Linked DNA regions of Xenopus tropicalis. The protein of the gene in region 2 purifies or fractionates together with the protein of the main gene of each other region. This does not show direct contact. Links are inferred from orthologs where the notes say so. Each region holds a gene or a part of one and is shown on either strand. Other genes may lie near its edges.

What was found. Proteins that work in one complex are often made in the same cells at the same time.
Region 1: the proteins of tnrc6a (region 2) and cnot7 purify together in Homo sapiens (affinity purification with western blotting; 3 studies listed by BioGRID and IntAct, with this or other methods). This does not show direct contact. The link is inferred for Xenopus tropicalis from reciprocal best matches to the Homo sapiens genes TNRC6A and CNOT7.

What each region holds. Positions count from the first base shown.
Region 1 is NC_030677.2:42,291,821-42,296,679, forward strand, and holds the end of cnot7 (CCR4-NOT transcription complex subunit 7), read right to left. Parts: intron 3,970-4,859; coding exon 3,825-3,969; intron 3,568-3,824; coding exon 3,457-3,567; intron 2,892-3,456; coding exon 2,763-2,891; 3' UTR 1,399-2,762; downstream 1-1,398. UniProt on the Homo sapiens protein: Has 3'-5' poly(A) exoribonuclease activity for synthetic poly(A) RNA substrate. Its function seems to be partially redundant with that of CNOT8.
Region 2 is NC_030685.2:20,137,672-20,142,530, reverse strand, and holds part of tnrc6a (trinucleotide repeat-containing gene 6A protein), read right to left. Parts: intron 2,304-4,859; coding exon 1-2,303.

The DNA.
Region 1 (4,859 bases), on a different chromosome or scaffold from region 2:
AACCACATTATGCACAGCAGGCTCAGGTCTAACCTGCCATTCTGGATGCCATACACATCCTGACAAAATCATGTGAAAATATACATCCAGAACTATATACATTATTGGTTGGTTTAGGCAAGTGCACAAATCTAAGATGCTAATGCAGTATATCTATCAGTGCCTGGGATATCAGCAGATGTATGAAGCAAAGAGGAGCGGTCACTATTGTGTTTTTAAAGGTGATAAATAGGAGAGGGTTGTAACAGATAAGTAATAGCAATAAAACTGTAGCGTCACATAGTGTCATTGAGACAAAGACAAGAGCTCCTCTGCACTCATGTAAAAAAAAATATATACATATATAGGACATTAAGACATTCTGTACATTAAGCTACTAAGAACTGTCCTCCCCTTTAAAGGAACAGTTCAGTAAAAATATGAAAAATGAAACTGTAAAATGGATAGACTGCGCAAAATAAAAATATTTGTAATATACCGACATCTGTTCACGCCAGCCTTTATAGATTACATTTTGACTAACTAACTATATTGAAAACATTTTTTATTTTGCGCAGTCTGTCTGTTTTACCCAGTTTCATTTTTACACTGAACTGTTCCTTTAAACAAAACAGGGATTGTTTGCTCATATATTGCAACATATTCAAGCTGGCCAACTACATCAAAGTCATCCCTGGTCTGGCCTATCCTACATTCACTTTAACCTAATTCATTAAGTCTTAATGAATGTATAACTGTATAGATTATATTATACATTTTCCACAGGGATAGTTTTACTTCTGCTTTGTAAAAATATGAGTTTAGTTGAATTACAGGAAACAGAAATTTGAGAACTCTGCCACTTAATATAATAATAATGGGCAATTGCAGAGGCTGGGCCATATTTAAAAATTTAGTGCCCCTAAGTGTTGTAAATTATGTACAGGAAATAAGCTAAACATTTATGCATAGGTGAACTACAGTATACCTAAAATAAAAAAAAGACCATGGGCAAGACATGGCAAAATGATCACTACAGGACAACTAGTTGGGCCTTGACGTGCTCAGGATAATTTACTTCTTAGTTGGCTAGTTAACTAACCTCTGATTGGAGGAGTGCTTCTATAATCAGCACGGAATATGTCAGTAACAGCGATATGAAGATAAAGCACCCTACAAAACCTTTTCTTGTGCACATTGCTCATTAGCCACCTACCAGCAATCATCACTAGAAGCCACAAGGGTTGAACAAAGCTGAAAAGGGACAGGGGAACCCAAACATTGCTGTGCAGATAGCTGTAAGGTGCCATTACTTGTAAACAAAGGTGGTCTTATTTGATTCAACACTAAGGAACTTTTATGGCTTCTATTTCATAAAGAGTCAATAACAGGATATCAATAGCCTTCAAAAAAAAATAATAATTTTTTAAGCCTTTATTTACAAAAGCTCTAAAAACAAATAATATCCTTTGTTTGCAAATTGTTTTTCTTATGCATTAAAAAGGACCACTCTTGTTACACAATTGTAACTCATTTGGAAAGAAAATAAAGCCATTACAAAGGTAGAAAGGCAGGTGTATCTGAACGAGAGACTTGCTGGTTTCTTACATGTCAGTGTGATGATACAATCCACACATTTGCTGTCTGGGAAACACTGGTGAGCCATTGCCAAAAAAAACTATTCTACAATTTCTCTAGTTACCATCCAGTGACAGATAGGAAAGTACTCCACAGTCTACACAGACAATATATATATATAAAAATATATTGCAAAAATATTGCCAAAAAAGTTATCTAGTATTACACTACAGCTGCAACATTGTTCAGCTATGACTTCAAATAGGTTTTTGTTGTTACAACAAATAATTACACGTCATTTTTGCAAATACAAAATATTGTATATTCCTTCGCCTAATCCAATCCAAATTAATTCCTGACTTTCTGTTGTTGTTGGTTCCTCTTGTATCTTTTTTGTGTCTCTGTTTATTTTTGCATGAGGCTTTTTTTCCAGCAATGAAATTTTGACTTTTGCAAAATGAAGCACCCAATAAATAGGATTAAAAAAAAAAAAAAAAAAGATGACCTGGGCAAACACAAACAAGATAAATGTGTTAATCACGTCAAGCTGAAGCATAAACATATGATGTTTAGGTTTACAAACAGCAGAACTGGGTCAGGGATATGGAAGCTTGTAACAAAGAACAAATCGGCAGTTATCCAGTGGGTTAGTATTTCATGTGCTTTTGGCTGGAGAGGCACAAATCTATGTGCACCGGCAAGTGAATGCCACGTACAGGTTACTCAGTGGTTATCAGTGCATAGGTACACCAATGTACAGATGCTCAAACTGATGCATATATATATATGGATAGAGTCTTTTCTGAATTTAAAGAGACAAATAACCCAAGGCTAAAGTACTAATCATTGGATGGCAATAGTTGCATATTGCTGATAGTTTCTGCTTTGGAAGCATGAGGATGATTGTTGTGAAAGGTAAGAAAATAAGGCAAACCATCTTGCACCAAATGATGACGCATTACTGTGTGATGTGACAGGATGCTGTTATCGGTGCCATGCTGCCAGCTGATATCTAGGTAAGGCAAATAGGAGTTAGAGACACAGATCTCCCCAAGGCCAAGTGGTTCCACATTGATACAAGAATGAAGGCAGAACAACTGTGTGCAGGGAGATGGGGGAAATTCAGTGTCCAAGGAATATCACCAGAGATAAAACATGTACAAATTTCTGTAGTTTGGCAATAAAAAGTGCAGTTTCTCTTGGTGTCATGATTGTTTATTGGCTTCCTCTTCATATGCATTTCCTGTACCATTCTGTACATAAGACGATCCGGATCCCAGACCATATAAATGGCCACAGTATTTTGCATCATCTATGTGATCTTCAAAGAACATCTGAAAATGAACATAAACACACAAAAATACCACTGGTCAGAAGCGATTGGCTAAAAAACGACATACAGTAGTATTAACACTGAAACAACACATCCAGGCAGTTTACCCTGAAAAACATACCTACAGCAAGTAGTAATTCAAAGATACTTACAACCACTTGAGTATATAAGTAACATGTCTGCATGCCCCCCTAACTACTAGTGCTACACATTCTCTGACTGGCCAACTGATTGATCACAATAGGTTCTGGACATGTCAGAGGCATCTAAAAGAATGCACAATTTTATGGGCTGAACTAGGCATCTCACACACATGCATCTAAAGTCACCCAGGAGCAGGTAAACCCCAGACCCCTGCCAAGGCGCAAGCTGCCTGCAGGGACAGGAAATATCAGGGGCCAAACCACTACATATAAAGGGGATCATGCAGGGTTGATTTAAGGAATAGGGGCTTCCAAGCTATTTTGCTAGTGGTTTCTTTATGTTGGCATTAGCTACTACTCTAATATTTCCTTCCCAACTTCAAAATTACCACATACAAGCATATCAATAACATGTGAACTTACCTCTCTCATTTTAAAGAATGCCATTCCAGTAAGTAATGAGTCAGAGCCTGCTTGATGCTGAGGACCAATACGCTTGAGTTCCAGCTGCTCTGCCACTTCCTGCAATCCACCCTGCCAGGAGACAATGGGAAAGTTTTACAGAATACAACCCAAATACCATGTCCCTCTATTAATTCTTGTAGTGGAATCCAAAAATGATGGATTTGATTCATCTCTATCTACGACACAATGGCTGCTGGTCTGCTGTAGAAACCAAAACCAAAACCAAACTAATGAGTAATATTTAGCTAAAAGAATTTTAGAAGAAAAGTACCCAGATTTCCACCATGGTTTACAAAATAAGGCCAGTGCATTTTAGTCTCACCCACCTTGAGATTTTTGCAGCTTTTCATCAGGTATTTGACATCGTATATCACTGGGAAAAACAGGCGCAGGATTTCAAAAAAGTCTAGTTCTACCTCAGGCAGGTTTGAATTTGTCAGAATTTTTATTAGGTAGCCAAAGTCATAGCCACTGCAATGGGAAGGGGTACAGAAAAGATCAGGAAAAAAGGAACACATTTACAGTCACAGACAAGTTTGGCTTATGTGTATTAATGCATGTATGCTTTTAATCATCAGATGTCCCTTTTTAAATTCTACATAGGCAAATAACATTTGCAGTACCAGTCATGGAACTCCAAAGTGACTTTATTTTAGAACAGGGGGTACATTGTTTATTATATTTATAGTGAGTCATGTGACAGAAATTACAACAATTATAACTGCTATAATCAATTATAAGGATATAATTCACTGGGAATTCATGGCTCTTGCGTATTATATCAAGATAATGTTGATAATATTATTAAATGTTCAGCCTAGCTCATTACAAACATACAGTGCAATGTGACATAACACATTATGAATAGAGGGCATTGCTCTATAGTAGAAAGGGTAAGCAACTATGGTAAAACAATGACCTGACAAAGACCGTCTCATTGTTCTGATTGCACAGAGTGCGCCAAATCCTGTGTAGAAAAGAACAACACTGCAATAAAAGAACTGCTGAGGAAAGCAGCAGACTAAAAAAATACAGGATCTCTAGTGGAAACTTCCAGAATAGAGATGATGCTTCCCAACATAATTTACTGGAGGAAGAGCATTGCTTCTCTTGCTTGTATTGAGATGACAGAGGTATACTTGGATAGAATAGCCCTCTAGTAAATTGTAACAAGAAGAAATCACATGGCAATGTAAAGGTTCATTGCCAAAAGCAGAGTGCTTTTAAACATGGAACTGCCAGGTGATTTCTAATATCCTCATATTATACATAGTCATATAGTTGAATGCAAAAGTTTAGGCACCCCTTGCCAAATGACATTTAGTTAGGCAGTGTGTTAAAAGACAACATATATGCAAATG
Region 2 (4,859 bases):
TGTTGGAGTTGACAGTGATCCACCCGACCACCCAGAAGACTTATTGGTGGCTGGCTGTGCCCCCCATGACCCACTTTCTTGCTTTTTGTTCCATTCTGCAGAGCTTGCTTGCAGATGTTCGCTCTCCATGTGGTTCGGGCCACATTTGGAAACATCCCCATTCCCCTGGTTAGGCTTTTTTGGCTCACCCCACCCTTGAGCTGAAGTTGACTTGGAGGGTTCAGCCCAGCTTGATGCATTATTTTGATTTCCGCTTCCCCAGGAGTTGGAACGACTAGGCTCACTCCAACCAGATACAGATCTCTCGCTGTCGCTGCTAGAACTTGACTTTGCTGTTCCCCAGTGATTACTCTTTGAATTCTCTCCCCAGCTGTCACCACTGTGTGACCCCCACCCCTGTTTGACCTTTTGTGCATCATTCCAATTGGATTTGTCCTCTTTATTATTCCCCCATGATTGATTGCTCTTGACCATTCCAGTAGTAGCAGCAAATTGATCTTCCCATTCCCCTTGGCTTACTGCGCCTTTGGCATCACCCCACCCTGTAGCAGACTTTGGATCTCCCCACCCAGATACTGATGAGGTATCATTGCTGTTAGGGTTGGGCTTATCCACCCATCCCCCTGAGTTAGAAGTCTTTGATACAGAGCATCCCCAAGCTTCTGTTCCATTGTCAGTTTTTCTGTTGCTCAGAGACGAAGCAGCATCAGTGTCCCAGGCAGTGTTCTGTTTAATTGGAATCTGTCCCCAGCCAGTGTTGCACAAGACCCGTGGATCTAGGTCGCCTTTATTTACAATACTTTGGAGTAAAGTTTGCTGGTCCGTCTTCCTTATTTCCTGAAGCCCGTGTCCGGTCCCATATTCACTCTGACTTCCAGTGCTGTCTACACTACCTTCACTTTCCCCCGTACCTGTAGTTTTGGCCCATACATTTGCCTCAATGCCTTTGGATCCTGCTGAAATTTGCCCTGCATTCTCTTCCTCAGCAGACTTCCACGTATTTGACGTTTTCCTACCATTTTCTTTGTTTTCCCCCTCATTGGAATGCTGATTGTTAGGCAATTTGTTCCAACCACCATTTGAAAGATTAGTGCCAGTGTTTTGTGCTGCGTTTCCCCATCCTCGTTGACTTCCACCAGAAGTTCCTGCATTTCCACTTCCCCAATGCATATTTTGGGAGTTTACAGTCCCTGACTCCCACAATCCTCCTTTATTCCCGTTTATTTTATTGTTTGGGCCATTGGGCCCATATAGGCCTGGCTGCATTATAGTCGCATTCACAGTGTCACCATTAGCTTGCCCTTTAGGGACTGAAATCTTATCTCCAGAATAAGAGGAGCCGGAAGTACCCCATGTAGTACCGTATGATCCGCTGTTTTTTTCCTCACCGTTACTTAGGTGAGGAATGGAAGTGCCATTTGTAACTGAAGGGGTGTGAAGAGGAGAATGATTCATATTGCTCACACTCCAAGCCCCATGCCCTGTAGAATTAGGGAGTTCATTTGTCTGCAATAAGCCAGCAGAGTTTGGTAAACTAGAGGTCATAAAGTTAGTAGTGTTATTTGGTCCAGTCATTTCAGTGTTAAGGTTTTGAGGTCGCCCACTAAAAGAAGCCTTCCGTGTTCCACTGAGTTCAGGATCCCCATTCTCCTGAAGATTTCCCCAGGAGCCAGGGGCTGAGCTGCCCATTTTAGGGTTAATACTCCGATTGTTAGACACCTGACCTATAGTACTGCTTGGAACATTTGTGCCAGAATTATTTGACCCTTTAAGGGCATGTCCATTGCTATCCAAAATGGGCCAGGCACCATGGTTGCCATTCATATTCAAAGTGCTTGGATTTAGAACTCCGTTCACTGAAGTATTCACGGTGCCCCAAGCATTAATCCTGTTGTGCCTACTATCTGAATTGCTATCGGGGCCATCTTGACATGTGCTTATTACAGTTCCATGGGTCACGGCCCACGGCCCATTAATACTTCCATTGCCTGCATTATTGCTGTTGTTGCCAACCAAAAGTTTGCTCTGAGAACTATGTCCAATGCCATTTCTCATAGTATCCATTTCCTCTGTGGTATCCCCAAACGGCACTAGGTGGCTCTTTCCTGCCCCAGAGCTGGGGGAAGAGTCAATATCCATACATTCTGAGGTCAACTCGGAGCTAGTGCCTGTGATCGATGGCCACACTTTTTCTGTGCCGTCTACAATGACTTTTTCCCAGGTAGTGCTAGAATCACCATTGGAAGAGACCGGCCCCCAGTGGGTGTTTTCATAGTGAGAGCCTAGGCTACCATGATTGAGCTCTAAGGGAAGAAGGGGAAAAAAATATTAGATCTTTGTTTAAAACTGCTGAATGTATTTTAAATATTAGTCAATGTTAACATTTTTCAAATTAATAAAGATACCCAGCCACCAAAGAGCTCAAGATTTAAGGGACAATGAGACCAAAATAAAAGCAGTAAATTAGAAACAAGGCAAACACAAATTTTGCCCTAGCAGCTGCAAACAGTATGACAACATTTTTCAAAATATGAAACCCATATATTTACATTTATATACTGTCAAGACATTTTGGTTCAGTCAACAGGGATTAAATATATGCTGTGTAAAGCAACCTAGAGAAGCCACCAGGAGCTCCTTATACAGCAGATCTTGGGGGCAAACAAATCAACCTGTAGTCTGTTCTCACTAGCCTGTATAACTGCAAGGGTAAGCTTCTGACCCCTGTAATCATTAAACCGTTTGATTGGCTTGCTTGACAGGAAATGGAAAAACTTCTCGCACCATTGCCAACAGTCTTATCCATTGTAAAGGTGAGCAGCATTTCAGTGTTATGGAAGTATATAAAATATTCCTCAGAAACAAAGCTACATTGCAGAGCTATGCAAGATGACTGAAAAGAAAGGGCTAGTTATTTCAGGGGAAACCTGAAGGATTTGGGATTCAGTCGATCACAAAGATTATGGATTTGGTGCATCCTTAGAAGAACTAAAACTAAGACAAAAAAAATGAAGTAGGCCAAGAATGCTGCACATTATAATTTAAGATTTGGTACCAGCCCAAGGCTACCAAAGTCCTTTAGCAGGGGAGATCTGTGTCTCCATATTAGGGATGCAGCAAATCCAGGATTCGGCCAAGATTCGGCCTTGTTTGTCAGGATTCGAATTTGACCGAATCCATGGTCCTGAGCAAACCGAATACGAATTTTAAAAATCACGTGACTTTTTGTCACGTAAATTTTTCCAAAATTTTCAGACATTTAACCCTTCTAAAACCTAATTAGCATGCTAATAAGCATTTGATGCGGTATTCTGCCGAATACTTTACAAAGGATTCAGCGGTTGGCCAAATCCAAAACAGTGGATTCGGTGCATCCCTACTCTATATATGCCCCCAGGAGCTCCCTATATTATTTCCCCATGTTCTGTGATGCGGTTACATACAGTACCTGAACTTAGGGAACAACTTGCAGCTTAAATTATTGACTATACAAGTTACAAGACTGATAGCAATTTAATTGTCATTATATGGCAGCTCAGTGCAATTTGCACCAACTTTTAATAATCAGCCCTGTAGCGCCAGCATCTGTGACAGACGAACCTCATTTTCTGCTTAATGACCCCTAAGCTTATCTTCTCAGCAGCTGTCCCAAAGCACACTGAGCATGTGCAGTGCCACTGACACGCCTAACTACAGTGACCCCCTGTGCACAACTTTAAAGGCCTGGTTATTACTGTTAAGAGATTTTAAAACTTAAAATCCAGGCCTTTAGACTGAAGTATGAAGTTCAGTATATAAAACAACACTTCTATCCATATTTGTTTATAGGGCTTATTTCTCCTTTAAGTTATTGCAACTGCAATGAATAATGGTGGGCCCTGGGCAAATAGCCCTGTAGACAGCTAAAGCACTGAACAAACTGCACAATCACAATTTGGTTTTATCAATAAAACTAGCAGGTAAAGCTAGACAATATACATATAGTACAAGTAGAATGTGATTTTGTGCCATTAAAACCCGAGGCATTCTGACATATAAAAGCAGCGTTACCAAAACTGTGCAAAACCTCATGCAATTCTTAGCTCATGGGAAAAGCAGTCCTTAATCTTACTTTGACACAGGCAGTTTAAAAATCCCATTTTCTTGCTATACATGCTCAGTAAATCTGAGAAGGCAAACAAATACAACCTTAATACTCTGCAGGCAAGCATGCTTATTTAAAAACGGCTCCTAGCAACGGGTCTTCTAAATGCACTCATGCCGGCTATTCATGGGATTTAACAGAACACAAATTCCAACCGCACCAAATCATGGAGTAAAAATAAGCCACTTTTGTAAACAGCACCCGTTAGGCAAGAATCAGTGGGGATCGGGGCTGGAGTGCTGGAAGCAGTCTAAACTACAGATAAAACTTGAGCTCTGGCAAGGGGAAAACTAAAAATTTTTTTTAAATAAAATAAATACAGGTATGGAACTTTCAAGGCCTACAGTTTTGTGGATAAAGGGTCTTTCTGTAATGTGAACTCAAAGCCTTAAGACTAATGCCAGATGGGGCGGATTCTCTGCCTACGTTAATTAGTAGAGATTTTGGTACAAAAATGCATACTTGGGCGTTTTCGCACCAAAATCTGCTGTGTGTGTCTGACACAGGAGGAAAGTGAAGCAAGTGGATCAGCCGACGGGCCCCCTCTGGCAGTAGCCGTAGGCAACTAAAGAAGAATAAAACTCAAGAGGGATGCGTCTGGCTAAATAAACATGGAAAGGCCTGCACCTGGTATCTGCCAGAGTGAATATATGGCCAGTGCTCTAGTCAGAATGTGCTTTGTATCCATGCCAAATTACTTTCATTCCACATGGTG